Linked DNA regions of Arabidopsis thaliana. The protein of the gene in region 3 interacts with the protein of the main gene of each other region in a pairwise test. Each region holds a gene or a part of one and is shown on either strand. Other genes may lie near its edges. The genes, in order: HB32, RR14, IAA20 and AT2G02160.

What was found.
Region 1: the proteins of IAA20 (region 3) and HB32 interact in binary tests that used the Arabidopsis thaliana proteins (3 or more experiments, as listed by UniProt).
Region 2: the proteins of IAA20 (region 3) and RR14 interact in binary tests that used the Arabidopsis thaliana proteins (3 or more experiments, as listed by UniProt).
Region 4: the proteins of IAA20 (region 3) and AT2G02160 interact in binary tests that used the Arabidopsis thaliana proteins (3 or more experiments, as listed by UniProt).

The regions. Positions count from the first base shown.
Region 1 is NC_003070.9:5,045,741-5,049,747, forward strand, and holds HB32 (homeobox protein 32), read left to right. Parts: upstream 1-2,041; 5' UTR 2,042-2,305; coding exon 2,306-2,812; 3' UTR 2,813-3,013; downstream 3,014-4,007. Other genes in the region: AT1G14686 (ENTH/ANTH/VHS superfamily protein), read right to left, coding at 41-1,060; AT1G14688 (E3 ubiquitin ligase), read right to left, coding at 3,914-4,007. UniProt on the Arabidopsis thaliana protein: Putative transcription factor.
Region 2 is NC_003071.7:331,012-335,476, forward strand, and holds RR14 (response regulator 14), read left to right. Parts: upstream 1-1,890; 5' UTR 1,891-2,029; coding exon 2,030-2,378; intron 2,379-2,456; coding exon 2,457-2,861; intron 2,862-2,944; coding exon 2,945-3,021; intron 3,022-3,101; coding exon 3,102-3,503; 3' UTR 3,504-3,685; downstream 3,686-4,465. Other genes in the region: MAP70-3 (microtubule-associated proteins 70-3), read left to right, coding at 1-404, 498-691, 795-837; AT2G01755 (uncharacterized protein), read right to left, coding at 1,238-1,777; VIT1 (vacuolar iron transporter 1), read right to left, coding at 3,764-4,061, 4,437-4,465. UniProt on the Arabidopsis thaliana protein: Transcriptional activator that binds specifically to the DNA sequence 5'-[AG]GATT-3'. Functions as a response regulator involved in His-to-Asp phosphorelay signal transduction system.
Region 3 is NC_003071.7:19,305,259-19,309,571, forward strand, and holds IAA20 (indole-3-acetic acid inducible 20), read left to right. Parts: upstream 1-2,455; 5' UTR 2,456-2,602; coding exon 2,603-2,975; intron 2,976-3,345; coding exon 3,346-3,442; coding exon of another isoform or gene 3,443-3,446; exon of another isoform or gene 3,447-3,553; coding exon 3,554-3,611; 3' UTR 3,612-3,813; downstream 3,814-4,313. Other genes in the region: AT2G46995 (uncharacterized protein), read right to left, coding at 4,210-4,313.
Region 4 is NC_003071.7:552,137-558,148, forward strand, and holds AT2G02160 (CCCH-type zinc finger family protein), read right to left. Parts: upstream 3,996-6,012; 5' UTR 3,764-3,995; coding exon 3,623-3,763; intron 3,237-3,622; coding exon 3,126-3,236; intron 3,029-3,125; coding exon 1,271-3,028; 3' UTR 950-1,270; downstream 1-949. Other genes in the region: EMB2794 (Tetratricopeptide repeat (TPR)-like superfamily protein), read right to left, coding at 1-489; AT2G02170 (Remorin family protein), read right to left, coding at 4,459-4,665, 4,762-4,843, 4,926-5,379, 5,462-6,004.

The DNA.
Region 1 (4,007 bases), on a different chromosome or scaffold from region 3:
CAATAACAACAATCGAAATTAATACAGAATATAATCATAGTTAAAAGCTAATTAAGTCTGGAATATCAACGACAACAACTCTCGGAGGAGAGGCAGGAGCTTCCTCATTATGATCAAGTGTTATCAAATCAGAAAGCTTCGTCTCTATCTCTTCCTCTTCTTCTTCTTCTTCCTCAGCAATCTCTGTTCTCTCCGCACTTTCCTCAGACGACTCCATCGCCGTCCTTACGAGTTCATCGAGATGAATCACATCCGCTTCAGGAATCCTTACGAAATTAGGAATCTCTTGAGCATTAGAAACTCCCAAGTCTTTACAAAACTCAAAATACTTTTTTAGCTCTCCTCCTTGCTTCATGGATTTAGCAACAATCTTCAACGCCAAGTCTGCCTCTGTTTTACCTATCTTGGAGTGCACGTTAGGTAAAACTTCAGCAATACGACGACAAATCCAACCGTAAATCTCCATAATCTCACTAACCACATTCTCCATAGCTTCATTAATCACAGGTATCATCATGTTTTCACCAATCGGTTTGATTCTAATCAAAGAATCAACAATAATCTGCATCTTACGAATAATCACAAGTCGAATCAGAACCGATGATTCTTCGTTGTATCGATGACGATTCCCATCGTGAAACAGAATCGATCTTCGATCAAGAAACGCGAAATAAGCACGTACGAAGAGATTAAACCCACCGGATTTGCTCATAATCCGTGAATTACCTTCGCCGAAACTCGAAAGATCGAAAGGTAACCGTCCGATCGATTCTGCTACGGTTGATTTACAGAGGAAGAAGCCGTGCATTAGCATTAAGCCTTTTAAAGCAACCGCCCAGCTTCGCGTGCGTTTCACGCGAGACGAGATTAAGCTTACGAGAGGCTTGAGGCTTGACGGGCTAGAGAGAACGTGACGGTAGATGAATTGAGCGCTCTCTGTATCAATGGAGAGCTCGTCGTGGCTTGTAGCTTTCACAACGGCTGCTGTGAGAATGTCATCAGCCGCGATGAGACTAGGTCCGTCTTTGAGAACTACGGCGGCGCGTTTCCAAAGCTTCATCTTCCGACTAATGTGTGTGGTTTCAAATTGTTAGTTTCTATTTCGCGCTTTATAATTTTCATTTTAAACCGTGTTTTGTTTTCTTTGATGTCAATTCTTTGCTGGTTTAAAACGAATTAGATAAGGATAAGCTAAAATTAAGAAATCTCAGTTTTGACCAAAATAAAAAAAGATATTTTTGATGTCGTTACTAAATTATTATCTTCCATTTTTCAGTTTAACTCGATTGATTACGTAATAAGTTCATTAGATAAGTGTTGTTTGGTTGGCTTTTCTATATGTTTCGTTGATTTTGTTTTGAGGCAATTTTCTAGTGTAGTAGTGTTGTAATCGTATATAATGTATGTGGTTTGAGCAAGTCAAATTATGACTTTGTTTGTACAATATGGAAATATACATATCTTAATTATTAATGGTGTGATTGATATCGTTAAGCCGTAAAATAATCGTTTAGCTTGCTAAATTACACACAAAACATAAAGTAGGCAAATGAACATATACGATAGTGAATAGTCAACTCGTGGGTCACACAATTGCTTTTTTGCTAAACCTCTTAAAAGAAAGCGTTTCAGACTTCTTTTTGCAATAAAATCAGATTCTTTGAAAACTTTTGATCTTTGCTTCTTAATTATAGTTTCATTTTAGTTACAATATATTATTGATATTTCTCAATTTTACAAAATTAGTTTCTTAAATCTTACTTTTATAAATCAAAATACTTCTACTTATTTAGAAACATGTGACCTCTATACAATCCAAACTTATTAAATTTGTTTATACCTATATTAAAAACTTATTACTAATATATTAGTACTAGTTTACTAGTACTAATTAGCCGCTATAGTTTTACAAAAAGTGGTTTAGTTTTCTTATTCCTCATTATTGCTACTACACTTAACCCAATGGATTGAAAGAGTTAACTATGGGTAGAGATGACAACTTTATGAGCTGAGAGGATACGAAATTATGGATGTGTAGAAAAGCAAAGCCAGTGAAACAGTTCAAAAAGTGGGTTTTTCACATTTATTATGACAACTAATAAACACGTAAGTACAAAATCTTAAAGCAAGTAAGTAACAATAATTTTTGCTCTTTTTGTAACTCCCAACTCTTTCTGACACAAAAAAACACCATATCATAACTTAAGTAACCCAAAACCAAACTCTTCCAAAACAAACCCTAAACGCAAAAATCATTACTCAAAAAAAAACAAAGTCTCTCTCTTCTAATTAGAGAGCCAAGAAGATGCAGAGTACTTGTGTCTACAGAGAATGCATGCGCAACCACGCCGCGAAGCTCGGCTCTTACGCCATCGATGGCTGCCGTGAATACTCTCAACCATCCACCGGCGATCTCTGCGTCGCCTGTGGTTGCCACCGCAGCTACCACCGTCGTATAGACGTCATATCTTCTCCTCAAATCAATCACACGCGCTTCCCGTTCACGAGCTTAAGGCGCGTGAAGCAGCTGGCGAGGCTGAAATGGAAAACGGCTGAGGAAAGAAATGAGGAGGAGGAGGATGACACGGAGGAGACTTCGACGGAAGAGAAGATGACGGTGCAGAGGCGGAGGAAGTCAAAGTTCACGGCGGAGCAGAGAGAGGCGATGAAAGATTACGCGGCGAAGTTGGGATGGACGTTGAAGGATAAGAGAGCGCTTAGAGAAGAGATAAGAGTCTTCTGTGAAGGGATTGGTGTTACTCGTTATCATTTTAAAACTTGGGTTAACAATAATAAAAAGTTTTATCACTAACTAATTAACTAATATCCTTAATTGAGATAATACTATAATTTAGTTCCAATTTCATTTTCATCCCTTCTGTGTTAATTTCTCCTCCTTGATCGCTTATTTTAATGGATTATTATTTTATCATTAGTGGGTTTAATGTGTTTGATTTGGACATGTCCTTAATTACTAACTGGTTCACTCTTTAATTGGTCTTTATGATTCTTCTTTTTACGTCGGTGGGATTTGAGTTTTGACAAGACAACTAGCTGACGTTTTATTTATGGTCAATACTGTTCGCCAATCAGAATATTTATACGTAATAATATTGAAGTAGTTGAATAGTAGTACTAATTATTATGGGAAAGGATGGCAAAATGACATTTTGTTTTGATAGAAAATTGTAAAGATTACATATCTAATTCTAAAATTTGTAAATAATTAATGGTAAGATATATTTCACGTAATGAAAAGACAATTAGTTACGGAAATAACACAACATTGTGTTTTTTCGAGGTTTGTTACTAAAAATTATAATGACATCATCAAAGCCAATAAAAGCTGTTATGCTTTTTTTTGTAGAAATAGTCATTTCAAAAATAATTTTTATACTTTTTGCTTTTTTATAAAGTCGTAAAACCATATACTTAAAAGTATATACCAATAAAATTGTGAACTAATTGATTCATAAAATTGTAACTTTGCTACCATTATACCAAGCATCCCATTCCCACGAAAGTTTCAACTTTAATTGGGCTTTTGTTGGCATTTCAAGGCCAATAAGAACACCTTTGAGAAAACTAAAAAACATAGCTCTAGTCTACAATTATTCTAGTGTTTACCTACTGATTTAGAAAATGATTAGGATTTAGGACCAGGTTAACTAAAACCAGAGACAGTCTTGCCCGGCTCGATCTGAACCAAGCTTGCCCGTAATCTCAATCCAACGTACAAAAAACAAATAAACAAAACTGTATAAAAAAGTTTCACCATACAAATTGTAGACATGATTACTTGATTAGATTCAAATACTCGTTAAGATTTGCCTAAACACAGATTACAAGTGTGTTTTGTGAAATCAATTCGTTGCGTAATTCTTCTCCCTGAGACTTTTCTTGCCAGAAAGTCCTAGAAATCACTGATGTCGGTATCTTCGCTGTCTGAGCTACCATTCTGTGAACTGCTGTCACCTAAGTCCTTTTTCTTCCACACGAATGGTAAC
Region 2 (4,465 bases), about 19 Mb from region 3:
TTGGCGGAGCTGATATTATTCCGAAACTGACATCAAATGGATTTTTCTCCAAGAGGTCACCAAGTTCTCAGTTTAGATCTTTGAATGCTAGTACAAGCACAATATTGAAGCATGCGAAAGGAACATCCAGATCATTTGACGGAGGCAGTAGATCTTTAGATAGGAGTAAAGTACTAACAAACGAACCCAGATCGAAGTTTCCATTGAACCAATCTTCTGAAGGAACAAGCGGAGGCGGGTCACCTAATTCAACAAAACAAGGAGATTCAGAGAAAGCAGCAGGGACAAATAATGATAGTGTCCCAGGAGTATTACATGATTTGCTTCAAAAGGAGGTGATAACTTTAAGGAAAGCTGCTAATGATAAAGATCAAAGCCTTAGAGATAAAGACGAAGCTATTGAGGTTAGTCATTAGTTTTACACCTTTCCAAGAAACGTTTGCTTATATTTATTTATATTCTCTGATCAAAATACTTGGGCTTGTGTTTGCTTTTAGATGTTGGCCAAGAAGGTTGAAACACTAACAAAGGCGATGGAAGTGGAAGCAAAGAAGATGCGAAGAGAAGTAGCAGCAATGGAGAAAGAGGTTTCAGCTATGCGTGTGGATAACAAAGGATCAGATAGTAGAACGAGACGTCACTCTACTAACTCAAAAGGAGCTTCAACAACTGCACAGTTACTTTCTGGAAGGTACCTGATGTTTTCTTATTATAATGACCCAATGTAACGATTATAAGTTGGTTAGGTTAGTTTTCTTTAACACTTGAACGTTTGCTTTGCATTGTTGTTTTAGCAGAGGCTCAGGACGAATGGGGATGACGAGGAGCACGCAGTGATCAAAGAAGTCGATTCCACGAGCAAAATATGAATCTCAATTCAGTGGTTAATAGATTGAAGGAATGACAAAAAGCATACAAATATAGAAATCCAATATGGGAGGTTTGTGTGCTTCTTAACATAGTAAGATTTCAAAGTTAAAAACTGATTTTTAATTTCTTGGCTGATGTTTATTGTTTTCCTCATATATAGAAAAGAGTTAGGTTTGTGTTTTAACTACTAACTTGAGCTTAGTGTGTGATTTATTGTATCTCTCTCTATCTTACCTTTGTCCATTTTTCTCATTTTGGGGTATGTTATAGATTTAAGAAATTAGTTCAGAAACAGAGGTGAGAGTTATTAGTGAAAAAATTGAAATTGTCATTAGTTTCATTGATCCAGACACAACATTCACTAACATTAGTTGAGTCTGGTCTCCTTGAAGGCTTGAAAAGAGATGTCCCTTTGAATATAATGAATCTGTGAAGGATCAAAAGGACCTCTCACTCTATCAATCTTTGTAATGACTGCTCTCTCCGGCAACACACTCCTCGCCGGATCCACCGCCGTTTCTCCGCTCAAGCACGACGACACTCCTTTAAAGATTACAACTTCCACTTCTTCATCGTCGACAATGGCCGTCACTATAAGCGCTTCTTCTCTACACGACTGGCTATATATCTCCAACATCGCCATTTCCTCGTTGTATCCATACATTTCATCTTCATCTTCACCACCTCCCTCGTCTCTCACCCTTCTCCGAGCACCGCACCAGAACATCTTCAAAGCTCTTCTTCTCTCCGCCACTGGAGGGACGGTGAAAAGTTTTTTCCGGTAGTTATACGAGTTTGTGAGCGAGGGTATTTTAGTCATTTGATCTTTCTGTCCGAAAACGAATAATCCGGCTATGCCACCGGATAAATTCGCCGGCGTGATAAGCATTCTGATATTGTAGTGCATGAGGACCGTGACTTTGTCTATAGATAAGATTTTAAAGGACTCGTGTATGTTTACAAATAAGGGTAGTACCAATTGGATTAATTACAACAGAGTGCCACTACAGCTATTACCAGTCGCTTTCGTTGCCTCTCTCTTCAAACCAGTGGCTACTTACTCAACACTGTACGTCTTCAATCATTTCTTCTTCTTTCTTCTCCAACCAAAATCTCTTTCTCAGTTCTCTAGGGTTTTCAATACTCACACCAAAGCTTAATGCCGATCAACGATCAGTTTCCTAGTGGGTTAAGAATACTCGTTGTAGACGATGATACTTCATGCTTGTTCATTCTCGAGAAAATGCTTCTCCGTCTCATGTACCAAGGTCTAATTCTTTATCAAAGTTCCCACCTTTTAATAGATTTTCTCAAGAAAGTTTTAACATTTTTGTTTTATCTTCTCTTTGTAGTTACAATTTGCTCACAAGCTGATGTTGCGTTAACCATTCTAAGAGAAAGAAAAGACAGTTTTGATTTGGTGCTAAGTGATGTTCATATGCCTGGTATGAATGGTTACAATCTTCTTCAACAAGTTGGTCTTCTTGAAATGGATCTTCCTGTCATTAGTAAGACTCTGTTGTTATGTTTTGTCTCTAAAGATTGAATCTTTGCATCAATGTTTCTTACATTTGCTCTGTTTCTAGTGATGTCTGTTGATGGAAGAACAACTACAGTCATGACTGGAATCAACCATGGAGCTTGTGATTATCTAATCAAACCTATTCGTCCTGAAGAGCTTAAGAACATTTGGCAACATGTTGTTAGAAGGAAATGTGTGATGAAGAAAGAGCTTCGAAGTTCTCAAGCTTTAGAGGATAACAAGAACAGTGGTAGCCTCGAGACTGTTGTTGTTTCGGTTAGTGAATGCTCAGAGGAAAGTTTGATGAAATGTAGGAATAAGAAGAAGAAGAAGAAGAGAAGTGTTGATAGAGATGATAATGAAGATGATCTTCTTCTTGATCCTGGAAACTCGAAGAAGTCACGCGTTGTTTGGTCTATTGAATTGCATCAACAATTCGTTAATGCCGTAAACAAACTTGGAATTGACAGTATGATCCTAAACACTATCTTATTGCTTGTAGAAGAAATTCAAAGTAATTTGTGCTTATAAGAATCTCTCTTATTGTTTCAGAAGCTGTACCAAAGCGGATTCTCGAGTTGATGAATGTTCCTGGTTTAAGCAGAGAAAACGTGGCTAGTCATTTACAGGTTTCTTTGATTGATTGATTGAATCTTTCTTCTTATTAGGGTCTCTATAAGGGTTATGACTGAATCAATACCATTTGCAGAAGTTCCGATTGTATTTGAAGAGATTAAGCGGTGAAGCTTCGCAGAGTAATGACTCTGAGTCTACCAAAAGATATGAAAACATTCAAGCTCTGGTTTCCTCAGGACAATTACATCCACAGACATTAGCTGCATTGTTTGGTCAACCAATAGACAATCATCACTCTGCTAGTTTTGGAGTTTGGATTCCTAATGACAATCTTGGTAGATCTCAAAATGAACACTTCTCGGTTGATGTATCATCCGCTTCTAACCGTCCTGTTTCTGTGGCGGTTCATGGTCTATCTTCCTCAGCAAATTTCAGACAGAGAGGTGACGTTAACAACAACAGAATCAGACAAGGGTATGGATCAAATGTCAATGAAGAATCTTGGATCTTGGAAAGATCTTCAAGACAAAGATAGTGACCAATATGGATACGCTTAAGAAGAGAAGGCTCTGCAACTGTTTCTTTTAAATCTTCAGGAATGGATTAATGTCAGAAGAAAACTTGTGTGTCTGCAATGTTAGCTTAGGAAAGTAATTATGTAACCAATATTTTGAATTGTTATCTCTCACTTTATTATGGTTGCCAAAAGTTTTAGCCTGATAATAACCACAAGACATGCAACAAACAAGTCTCAAAGTACACAAAACATCAAACGCAACACTAGTTTTGTTACTGCTAATGTTGCACAACTTTAGCCAAACAAAAAGCAGCAGCTGAAGCAATCGCTCCTATAAAGGCGGTTTCAAACGCACTTCTGAGGGGCTTGCTTCCAGTGAAATGCCCTTTTGCATAGCCAAATATGAAGAGCGCAAACAGAGTTATAACCACAGACGCCACTACCGCATCCATGGCATGCGGTATGAGCATGTAGGGAAGTAACGGTATAAAACCGCCAAGAACATAAGCGATTGCAATCGTGAACGCGCTTTGTAACGCTCTTTTTGGATCAGGCTTCTCTAATCCCAGCTCAAACCTGTAACGAAACAATAAAGTCTCACTTATATAACAAGTTACATGCTTATAGTAGGAATATAAACATTTTGTGATAGGTAAAGAGTGTTAAACTTAACCAAATCAATAAGATAAGTTTTTATATTCACGTAATTTGTTGTTTTCTGTTTGTTACTATTCACGTACTTTATTTGTTGCAACAAAAAAGATTAAAATTGGAAGTCGGACCATATAAGAATCTTGCCCACACCTGGAAAGTATAAGCTCAGCTTTTGCAGAAATCTAAAAGTATCCCTCGATTTTCTCTTTAATTAAGACTATATAATATACATAAAATAATACTAATGGACTATATAGTATACATAAAATAACACTAATTTTCATTAGTGAGACTAACCTCATCATAAAATCAAGCCAAGCTTGAGG
Region 3 (4,313 bases):
AGGATAAAAAAATATTAAAAAAATATCATGCATGCAAATTCTAAATCAAAATTGATTGCAAGAAAAAAAAAATACATATATAGGCACTCCATTCATTTAATCACCAATTACTTTTTGAATAGAAATTCTATGAGTTTTAAATTTTATATACGATATCAACGAAGAAATAATTCGACTTCTTCCAATATCATAAAAGTAACATAAGCAAGTTCAAAATTTAATGCTTCATTAAACCAAAATAAAATAAAAAATGCTTCATGAATATATATATATATATATATATATATTTGAAATTATTTGGTAGGGGAAGTAATGTTTTAAAACTTGTATATTATAACAATGAATACACATGTAATAATGTAAACATACATCCAATCAACAAATGAAAGAAACAATCCGATAATTTCAGTAATGTTAAAGCAAAGGGAGGAAACAAAAGGCTATGATTAGTCCAACAAGAGGGGCTACAGAAAAAGAAAGCCACGAGACATGCAAATGCAATCACGCATCTTAAAAGCAAGCCCAAGTTTTGACTGACAAGCAACCACGACGCAGTAAAGTGGAGTTCTCAAAATTAGCGCATATATAAAGTACTTGAACTATGTGTGTATCTTTCCAATAAAATGCAATTCTATAATGACTGCCAAAATCAGTACTTCATATTATTTTTGAGGAAATATCGTATATGTGTATCTTTTTCTAACAAAAGTTTTTTTATTCAATATAGAAAAAAATGAGTATATTTACAATTTACATATCATAAGATTAAAGTTGCAAAGAAATAAAGAGAAGATGCAAATGAAAATAATGGAAGAAAAGAGGGGACAGAGAGGAGGCGGAGGCAGTAAGAAAATAAGAAAGTGAGGAAATTGTAATTTGTAGTGTTGTTAGGGAACATCTCTCCTTTATCCTTTTTCTCTTGATTTTTTTTTTGTTTCTTCAATATTTCTCTAAAACTCAATTGGTTCCAACTAATTAGTACATTTTTTCCAAACTGAAATATCGAAACCTGAATTAAGCGAGGGAACCAAGCCGGTTTCAACTCTAGTGCGTATATGTCTCTAATTGCTTACATGGTTCAATCCAAACCAAGCTACACTATGCTTGCACGTTGTGTTATTTTGTGAAGGATGAAATTATAATAACGAAGTTTGATGAATTGAAATGAAATTAGTTTCGTCACGAAGCACACATCCATTAAAATTTGATTCTTATATTATATTTTCAATGAAATTATATAATTTTACCATAAGGCACGCATCCATTGTACAATGTACATGTTGTGGTTGAGGGAGTCCACGTGGAAACAAAAATGCCACGTGGGTAATGACAAGAAATATAGTCGTTGGTCGTTGTGTCGTGAGTGTGTGTGTTTCCTTTTTCTCGTGCTTGCAAATATGAGAAATGTGACGTCTCCTTAAGTTCCATAGACAAAGGAACTCTCATTAGGTCCTCTCTTTAAGGTGAACCATTCATTACTCATGCCCCCTCTCTTCCTTCGCTTTTTTTTTTCTTTTCAATTTTCAAATTTTCTCTATTTATTTAGTTATTATTACGTCTAACAACTTCTCTTTCGCAAATATATTACGTATGATTTACATCATTATATAGGCACTTTTTACCGGTTTGGAATAGTCCGTTTTAGACCGATTATGGCAGCGCTGATACAACTTGTTTAGTAGTTGACTAATTTTTTTTTATGTCTAAGCTTCGAATAAACGTAATTGTAAAGAAACAAAAATGAGATTTATCTTCTTTTTACATGAAATAAAATCGGTCTAAGACTTACTTATTGGGGGTTTTGATTATTCAAATCATCTGGTGGAACTAAATCGCATTGTTTTATGGTTAATAATGACTTGGACTTGAATCATCGTAGGCTCAAACATTTGTCATGCTTGCATACATATGATGGGTCCACAACTCCACATCGTAACTTTCGTCATAACTTTTGTTAAACAGAAGTAAAGAACTATACCTAATTAACTTAAGAAAGAAGTGTTAATCCGATTACTAAGCAAGCATTTACCCAAACACTTTCCGAAAATAATTTGTTTGATTAAAGTGTTAATTGTATCGAGGTCATATGAAAACACATTAATTTTGGAAATGTGGGAAGTAATGTAGTTCCACAAACGCCTCAATGCGCGTCACGATAACCTTTCATGCATTGAACACGATTAAGAAGATGTAATTTCTCAATATTAACTTTAATACTACTTCATATCATCAAAACAGCTAAATGTATATATTTATTTTTTGGGGTTAGATATCAAACATTAACTAGCGAGAAACCGAACCCACAAAATCATAACCAACACTTTGATCGAATCATCGTTTGACACGTGTTTTGGTCTGCTACACTAACAACATTTTTAGCGGACGCTGTCTCATCATTCCACCGTCGCTTTTTATTTGTGTGAACTTTGAACAAAAATACGAATTAAGACCATATCAAATTTAAAATAAAATAAAAACAAGTCCTAGTTTTATCTTCTATATAAACACACACGTACAAACCAAGCATGGCGGCTCATTACTCATTTGTCTTAACCTAAAATTATTATAAAAAGGATAGAGAGAGAGAGAGAGAGCTAGAGATATGGGAAGAGGGAGAAGTTCATCGTCTTCTTCAATAGAGAGTAGCAGCAAGAGCAACCCATTCGGTGCTTCGTCAAGTACTCGAAACCTAAGCACGGACCTGAGACTCGGACTCAGCTTCGGGACATCCTCAGGGACTCAATATTTCAACGGTGGCTATGGGTACTCCGTTGCAGCTCCGGCGGTAGAGGATGCGGAATATGTGGCGGCTGTGGAGGAGGAAGAAGAGAATGAGTGTAACAGTGTAGGGAGCTTTTACGTGAAAGTGAACATGGAAGGAGTTCCAATTGGAAGAAAGATCGATCTAATGTCTCTTAATGGCTACCGCGACTTGATCAGAACCCTTGATTTCATGTTCAACGCATCCATTCTCTGTAAGTTTCTATGTATACATAATGTCATATCAGAATGATTTATATGTCTTAGAGGTAGCAAATTTCTAACGATATTTTTTTCTTTCTTATAAGTCCGTTTTGATTTTTTTTTTTTTTTTACGGAATGAAAAAATACTTCCGCTCATTACTATTCTTTTGTTTGAAGGTTAATATCGCCGTAATAATCGCCCATCACTATTTCATAGGTTGTTTGTTTGTTTGTCAAAAAAAAAATCTGGATAACGTTATATGTCAGAGTTATTATTCCGTAGGTAGAGTTTATATATTGCGCAGTGTGTAAGTACTGTGTAATGGGTAAATTGTAAAAATGATGAAAACTGATGGGAATTGAAAAAATGGAAATATATAGGGGCTGAAGAAGAAGACATGTGCAATGAGAAGAGTCACGTGCTAACGTACGCAGATAAGGAAGGTGACTGGATGATGGTTGGAGATGTTCCTTGGGAGTAAGCACTCTTTTCATCCTTTTTTGTATAATTAGATTGTTAATTATGCAGAAAATTAACTATATGATCATCCTTATATATATTTTTAATTTGTGGGTTGATTTTTTGCAGGATGTTCTTGTCTACTGTGAGAAGACTGAAGATTTCAAGAGCTAATTACCACTACTGATATATAAGTCTACGTACTTGTTGTGTTTAAATCGAAGTAATGCCAAGAAAAAAGTTTTTGCCTGATGTAAATCAATGGTCGGATATTTATAATATTATTTTCATTTTTCTTTTGTGATAGATAGTACATAAATCTTGAACTCACTCTGATTATTCTCGGTAGTACACAAAAAAATAGTAAAAAAAGGAAAAAACAATTATCCGATCGACAATCATGTTTCAGTGCATTAAACCAGTCAGACCATTGGTCATTGGATATTTGAATTTATATAATTAGTTGAATGCTTTTATAAATAAAATTATAGGATGTACTTTCTTTTGTTTGTCAAATAGGATGTAGTCCAGTTTCAGAAAATACTAGTAGTCAAGAAAACCAAGCGACAAATTAATGTCGAGAGACAACTTCTAAATTTTCGAAGAATTTTTGGATTTGATTATCGATTTGACCACAATGTACATTTGATATATACAAGGAAGGAGGCAGGGGAAACAACAAATTCCCACCTGATATTTCCTACTTTGTGTTTTGGAAATAAATGGGCCTTCTCCTTTGATTAAGCCCAAGTTCGATCCCATCTATAAATAATGCAACTTAAAACTCACAAAAGTATTCGGCTTACGCAAAATATAGGGTTTCTGTTTATTCCAATCATAGCTTCCGGATCAAGCAAAACAGAGACCGAGACGGAGCAAATCGCTTCTA
Region 4 (6,012 bases), about 19 Mb from region 3:
ACTATTAGCATCATAATACATTCTAGCACAAAACAGAATGTGAGCTACTATACAGTAAGATTCTACAGAGTGCTTAAACCCATTACGAGTCATCGACCATTTGAAGAATTTGAAAGCTAATTTAGGGTCTTCTTTCAATTCAACGAGAACCCTTGGAACCCAAATCGGAGCTAATGTCAAATCAAAAAGCTTTTCGAGTCCAGGATCATCCCATAGATCATTGTGAACAACTTTACGGATCCAATCTCTATCAAAATCTTCGGAATAAGTAGAAGTACCGCTTTTGGTAACGAAAGGGTATCGAATGATACAGAGAAAACTAGTGAACCAAACGAAAGGGCAAGAGATAAAGGAAGATTGAGAAGGAGAAGGAGAAGAGAGAGGGAAACAGAGAGGTGATTGGATTTGAGAGAGGGAAGAAGAAGAAGGGCTTACATGGCGAGGGAATCTGCGATTAACGTGAAGAAAATTGCGAAGAGAACAGAACATTTTCAGGAAAAAAGTTAAAAGTGAATAGAATGAGCCTCATGGTTTAACTCAGAGACATTGTATTCTATGGTATTCAACTATTCTACTGAAGAGGAAGGAAGGAGAAGAAGAAGAAGAAAGTAGGGTTTATGAAGAACTCTGGGTTTTGTTGCTTTTTTCCACCAAGTCTATTTCTTTACCTGTTGTTGTTCTTGTTTGTAAAATAATGATTTATGGGCCTTTGGAAACGGGCTACATAGGCCCAAAAGTTATAATTCTGGGCCCAGTCTTCTTTTTCTCATAACATTTTTTAACTCAGGGTTAATTAGATTGGTCGACTAAATTCGTAAATACTTTAAAGTTGATTGGTGGAAATCAGTTACATAATTACTCATGTTATGGAAAGGGCAAAAACAATAATGCTAAAGTGGTATTACATCATTCATGGTATGCAAGTGCAAAAACAATAATGATAAAAGGTGTTAAAAGCTAAAATAAGTTATTTACTGTAAATACTTTTTAATTTGAGGAAAAAGTAATATATCAAAACAGATTAGAAAACAGTAAAACTCAGAAATATGATATGGTGTACTTGTACCATTGTTTCTTTTCTTTCTTCTCTAGTGTTACAATTTAAGAAATCACAGTAAGAAAAAATGGCGACTAAAACTCAGTGCCAAGCCAAAGATAAAAGCGACTCGTATTATTTGCTCTACGACTTCTTCTCTCCATTTGCATTAAGCAGAGAGAGAGAGAGAGAGGAAAGGAGCAAAAGCTTTTTTCTGTGTTACTCTTTCTTCTTTTATGACAACATCTCAACGGTCTTCTTCTCAATGTCTTCTTCACCCTCACCTTCACCTCCTTCTGTTGCTTCTTCTTCTCCTTCCTCAGCCGCGTAAACTACTTCTTCACCTTCTTCGTAAGCGTATTCTCCTCCCTCTTCTTCATATCCTTCTTCGTAATAGTACTCTCCGTTTAGCTCATCGCCTTCATAAGCTTGCTCGTCTTCATTTCCTTCATACACTTCCTCCCCAACAATTTCTTCTTCCTCCATAACCGTTCCTTCTTCTTCTACTTCAGCTTTGGGTTCAGAGACAACCTCGGTTTTCTCTTCGGTTATGAGTTTGATCTCATCTCCAGCTTCCTCTTTCGATATCGTCTCGTCCTTGTTGTTGTTTCTGCTACCACCAGATGCGGCCGCTTTTTTTCTCTTGAGAATCTCACTGAAAGGCAATGGAGCTGCAAATGAATCCCTTGATCGCTTATGACTATGATGATCCTCTTCAAAGCTTTTCCTCTTCCCAAGAGATGGCTCTGGCTTACTTTCCTCTCTGCTGCTTTTAGGAGCTGATTTTCTTTCGTCTTCCATTTCTCTTCTTCTCGCCCATGGAGCCCCGAAACCTCTTTCCTGATTACCACTATGGTTTTCCTCTAACCTACCCTTAATTCTATCTCGGAGTCTACCCTGAGAAGGTAACTCGCTTCTGTCCCTTCCCCTCTCACTTCTCCTGTCAAAGTGGTGACCCTCTTCGCCATTGCTTCTCTCACGAAGCTTAATTCTACCCTGAAGACGACTACTGCTAATGGAGTTTTCCCTCGGTGTATCCCTACGAGACTCTCTATATCCTCTGTCCATCGAAGAGTCAGGAGCAGCATAGTCATGGCCTCCTACTGATAATCTCATACCATTGCCTTTTCTCTGCTTAGCCAAACGATATCTCAGATCCGATTCCAGTATGTTCTCTGATCTCTCATCTTCTGCGTAAACCCTTCTGTCCAAACGATCCTCTCTCTCAGAAGAAACTCGACGATGGCCCCATCCCCTGTCTTCCCTCCGATCATATGAATCAAAACGTTGTTCACGTAATGCTTCTTTATCACCATCAGCAATTGCACTGAAATCAGGGTCATACTCTGAGTTCCCTCTCTCCTGACTTCTACGTCCATATCGATCTTCAACATGATAATACTCAGAATCTCCAGCCTCATTATCCACAAGAACATCAAACCCAGGAGACGACTCTCTTAAAACGTCATCTGCATCCTTACCATTGTGGAAACTGTTATTATCATCAGATCCATATTTCTGAAGCAACTGAGTAGAATGGCCTCCTTCAGTAAAAGAAGGGAATCCTGGACCCTTTCTCTGCACAACAGGCTCATATCCCACATGGTTTGGAATGTATCCCTCTACACTTCTACTATCCCTTAGTCCAGTAGAAGCGACTCTTGGTGCAGCCGATATGTCAGTATGTCCTTTAACCACCTTTGAGAGATTAACATCAGGAAGTTTCTTCTCCTCAGTGTTATTTTCAATTGGCTTTTTAGAACACTGAGGATCAGTAGCAGGCTTAGCTTCTACAGGATGCTGTTTTTTATACGCAGCAGGATTCGGCGTGTGCAAGAACGAACACATATCTCCTTTCATACACATGCCTTTTTGAAAGAACAGACATGGAACAGGCTGTTTTGCAACACTAGGATGCTGCGCGGTTGCATGTATTGGCTGTACAGAAACAGCAGGAGCACCTCCTTGATTTCCCAACAATCCCTCCAAAGGCTGTAAGAAAACAAAACCACAAACATAAGCACACTTTGATAATACAACTCAAGAAGCTCAAGCAGAGACTATCTATTGAGGAAGAAAGTAAACTCACAGGATGCCGAAATCCACATTTGGGATTCAAACAGTTTCCATTCAACCAATAATAGCAATCCCTCGGGTTCATACGCGCATACTCACTGTGGCGATACTCGCATTCAGGTCCCTGTAAGCAAAAAAGGAAGAAACCATAAGAATCGTTCTTCAGCATAAACATACACATCGAGCAAAAATCATATTCACAGAACATGAAAATCTCCTTTATCAGAACATCCTTATAAAGCTTTGTATATGTAATTTTCAATCTAGCTAACAAGAAGCCCTAAGAAACAACAATACTTAGAATCACGAGGTTCGAAATCACCAGATCTAAATCTCGCACCAAAATTAAGCAGATGGAGAAGTGAAGTATGTATAGATAGCTTCGAGGGACACAAAAACACAGAGAAACTTGAAATCGGGTGAAAGAAACTTGAGATCTCAAATCCAAAACCCTAATTGAAGCAGAAACTGGATAAGATCTAAGCGAAACAATAATCAAAAATCAATTACCTTCTTGCAGGTTAAAGGAGAAGCGAGAAAGTAAACGCAATCGGTGTTCCACTTCAAAGCATCTTCTTCAGCAGATGAAACAGTCTCTGATTGCTTCTTCTGCTCATGTTGCTGTTGCGGTTGAGTCGCAGGCGCAAACATTATTATTACTTGGAAATTTCTGAATCTCTCTTTCAAGTAGATCGCAAGGTTTCAGATCGAAACCCTAGGAAGATCGAAAATCACCGATTCAGAGAGAGTCCCGTGGAAGAAGAAGAAGAAGACGAGCCGCCACAAAGAGCGCACCAGAGAGAAACTCGCGACTGTGTGTGTGTGCCCTTTAAAGCTAAGCCTAAAAGTTTTTTTTTTTGGCTCTTTTTTTTTCTTATGTGATGGGAAATATCAATAGATCAAGTTCGGTTTATTTGTAATCAATCAAATACTGACACGTGGGGATTTATTATTGGTTTATTTGTTAGCCATATTGTTTGCCTTGATATTATAACTTCTGATGGAACCAGCGACTTTGGAATGTTGTGAAATAGACAATGATAAGGTGATTTAAACCGAACTTGAACCAAAATTGTAAACCGATTGGTAGATCTTTTACAATCAAACATTGGTAAGGAAATCTAACCAAAATTAAATCCAAACCAAAATCAAAACTTTGGTTTTCACTTTGGTAAGGACATCTTGAACCGAGTAATTCGAAGATCTCTCAAAACCAAAATTTGAAGATGTACAAAGCAACTAAAAGATCACAAGAAATAAGTTTTTCAAAGCTTTTATTATACAAATGATGATAGAAAGATGTGTTCTTGAGAATTAACAACATCACATTCACAATAGGATTGGATTTAAGAACAAAAGCTAAAGCAAGAGAACAACAATGAAGGTACTTTGCCTGTTCTTCGGATTTGTTCAGCTTGTTTCTCTGTTTTAGCTGCCTGATGATCCTTCTTTGCTTCAGCCGCTGCTCGCTTTTCCTCTGCTTTGCGCTCGATTGTAGCGAGTTTCTTCATCAACCGGTCTTGTGCTCGTCCCTTAATCCTCTCAACTTTAACCTACAATATCAAGAACTCCACCATCATCATTCATGTTTTTCCAAGTTTGTTCACAATCATGACTTGAACTTACGTAGCTATGTTAGTGTAGTTTACCTCGGTTTTCTTCATCTCGGCTTCAGATTTCGCCTTCTGATGATTCTCCCATGCTTGAATCTTCATCTCTTCGCGTCTGAACCTGGAGATTACAGAACTCATCATAAGCTTAAAGTTTCGAGAATAACTAGAGGACTATGACAAACAATTCAACTTTGGACTACCTAGCCATGTGCTTAGCTTTTTCCGCTTCCTCCCACGCTGTAGCACGAGCTTCAGAAACACTTTTAGAAGTTTGTAGAGAAGCTTTGGTCTTTAATGATGTGGATGCGTCTTTATCTTCATCCTCCTTGCTAGCCCAAGCAGCAATGTTAAATTTACCAAGTTGAGTACCCAACACCATTATCTCTCTCCTAGTTTTCATTTGAAGCTCTTTCTCTGACAGTTCCTTGTTACTCATAGGAGAAGCTGATGCTTGTCTGCCTGGACTTGAAGGTTCAGAAGATATAGGACTTCGTATTGGCGTTGTTGCCCTAATCGGTGTCCCGTTTCTAGAAGGTTCTTGGCTCGCTATAGGAGTCATTTCAGTTCCCATGTCTCTCATTGACACAGACCTTGCCGTTGAAGGCGGTTGAGCAAACGCAGTTGCGACTGACGAGTCATGACGGCTGAGATTAACTGCAAGAAAGCAAGTAAAATTGGCTTTAGAAGATAAATAGAGCATACAAACTGAATAACTCAAAGAGCTAGCTAACACCACCTTCAGTTGCTGATTCTACAATAGAGTTCTCAACCATAAGAACCGGTTTGACATATGAATCCACGGTAGTGTACGAATCAACTTCCCAGCTACCAAACTTGTTTCCCATATCCTTTTTCACTTGGCTTACATCTATTCTCTTTGTATCAGGCTCTTCAACCACTCTATGTTCAGCAACTTCAACAATCTTCATAGAAGACTGACGACCAAAGCTAGGCCCTTTCTTCGAACCCGGAACCTGAACCTGTCCAGTCTTCGGTCGGTTAGCCGTAGGACTAGCAATCCATTTCTGAGCATCATCCCATTTAGATGGAGCTGGTTTAGAGAATGATCTAATAGGCATTCTTTGATTAACTTTTTCCTTCTCAGTCTTTTGAAACTCAAAGACAGATGATGCAGAAACACTCTTGATCTCATTCACATTATCATAATCAGAATACTCTTGAAGACCCAAACTAATCGATCTAGCTATCCCTGAAGTAGAACAATCAGTAATCTCACTCACAACATCAACATCTTTGCAATCATCTAATCCACTAGCAACTACAACA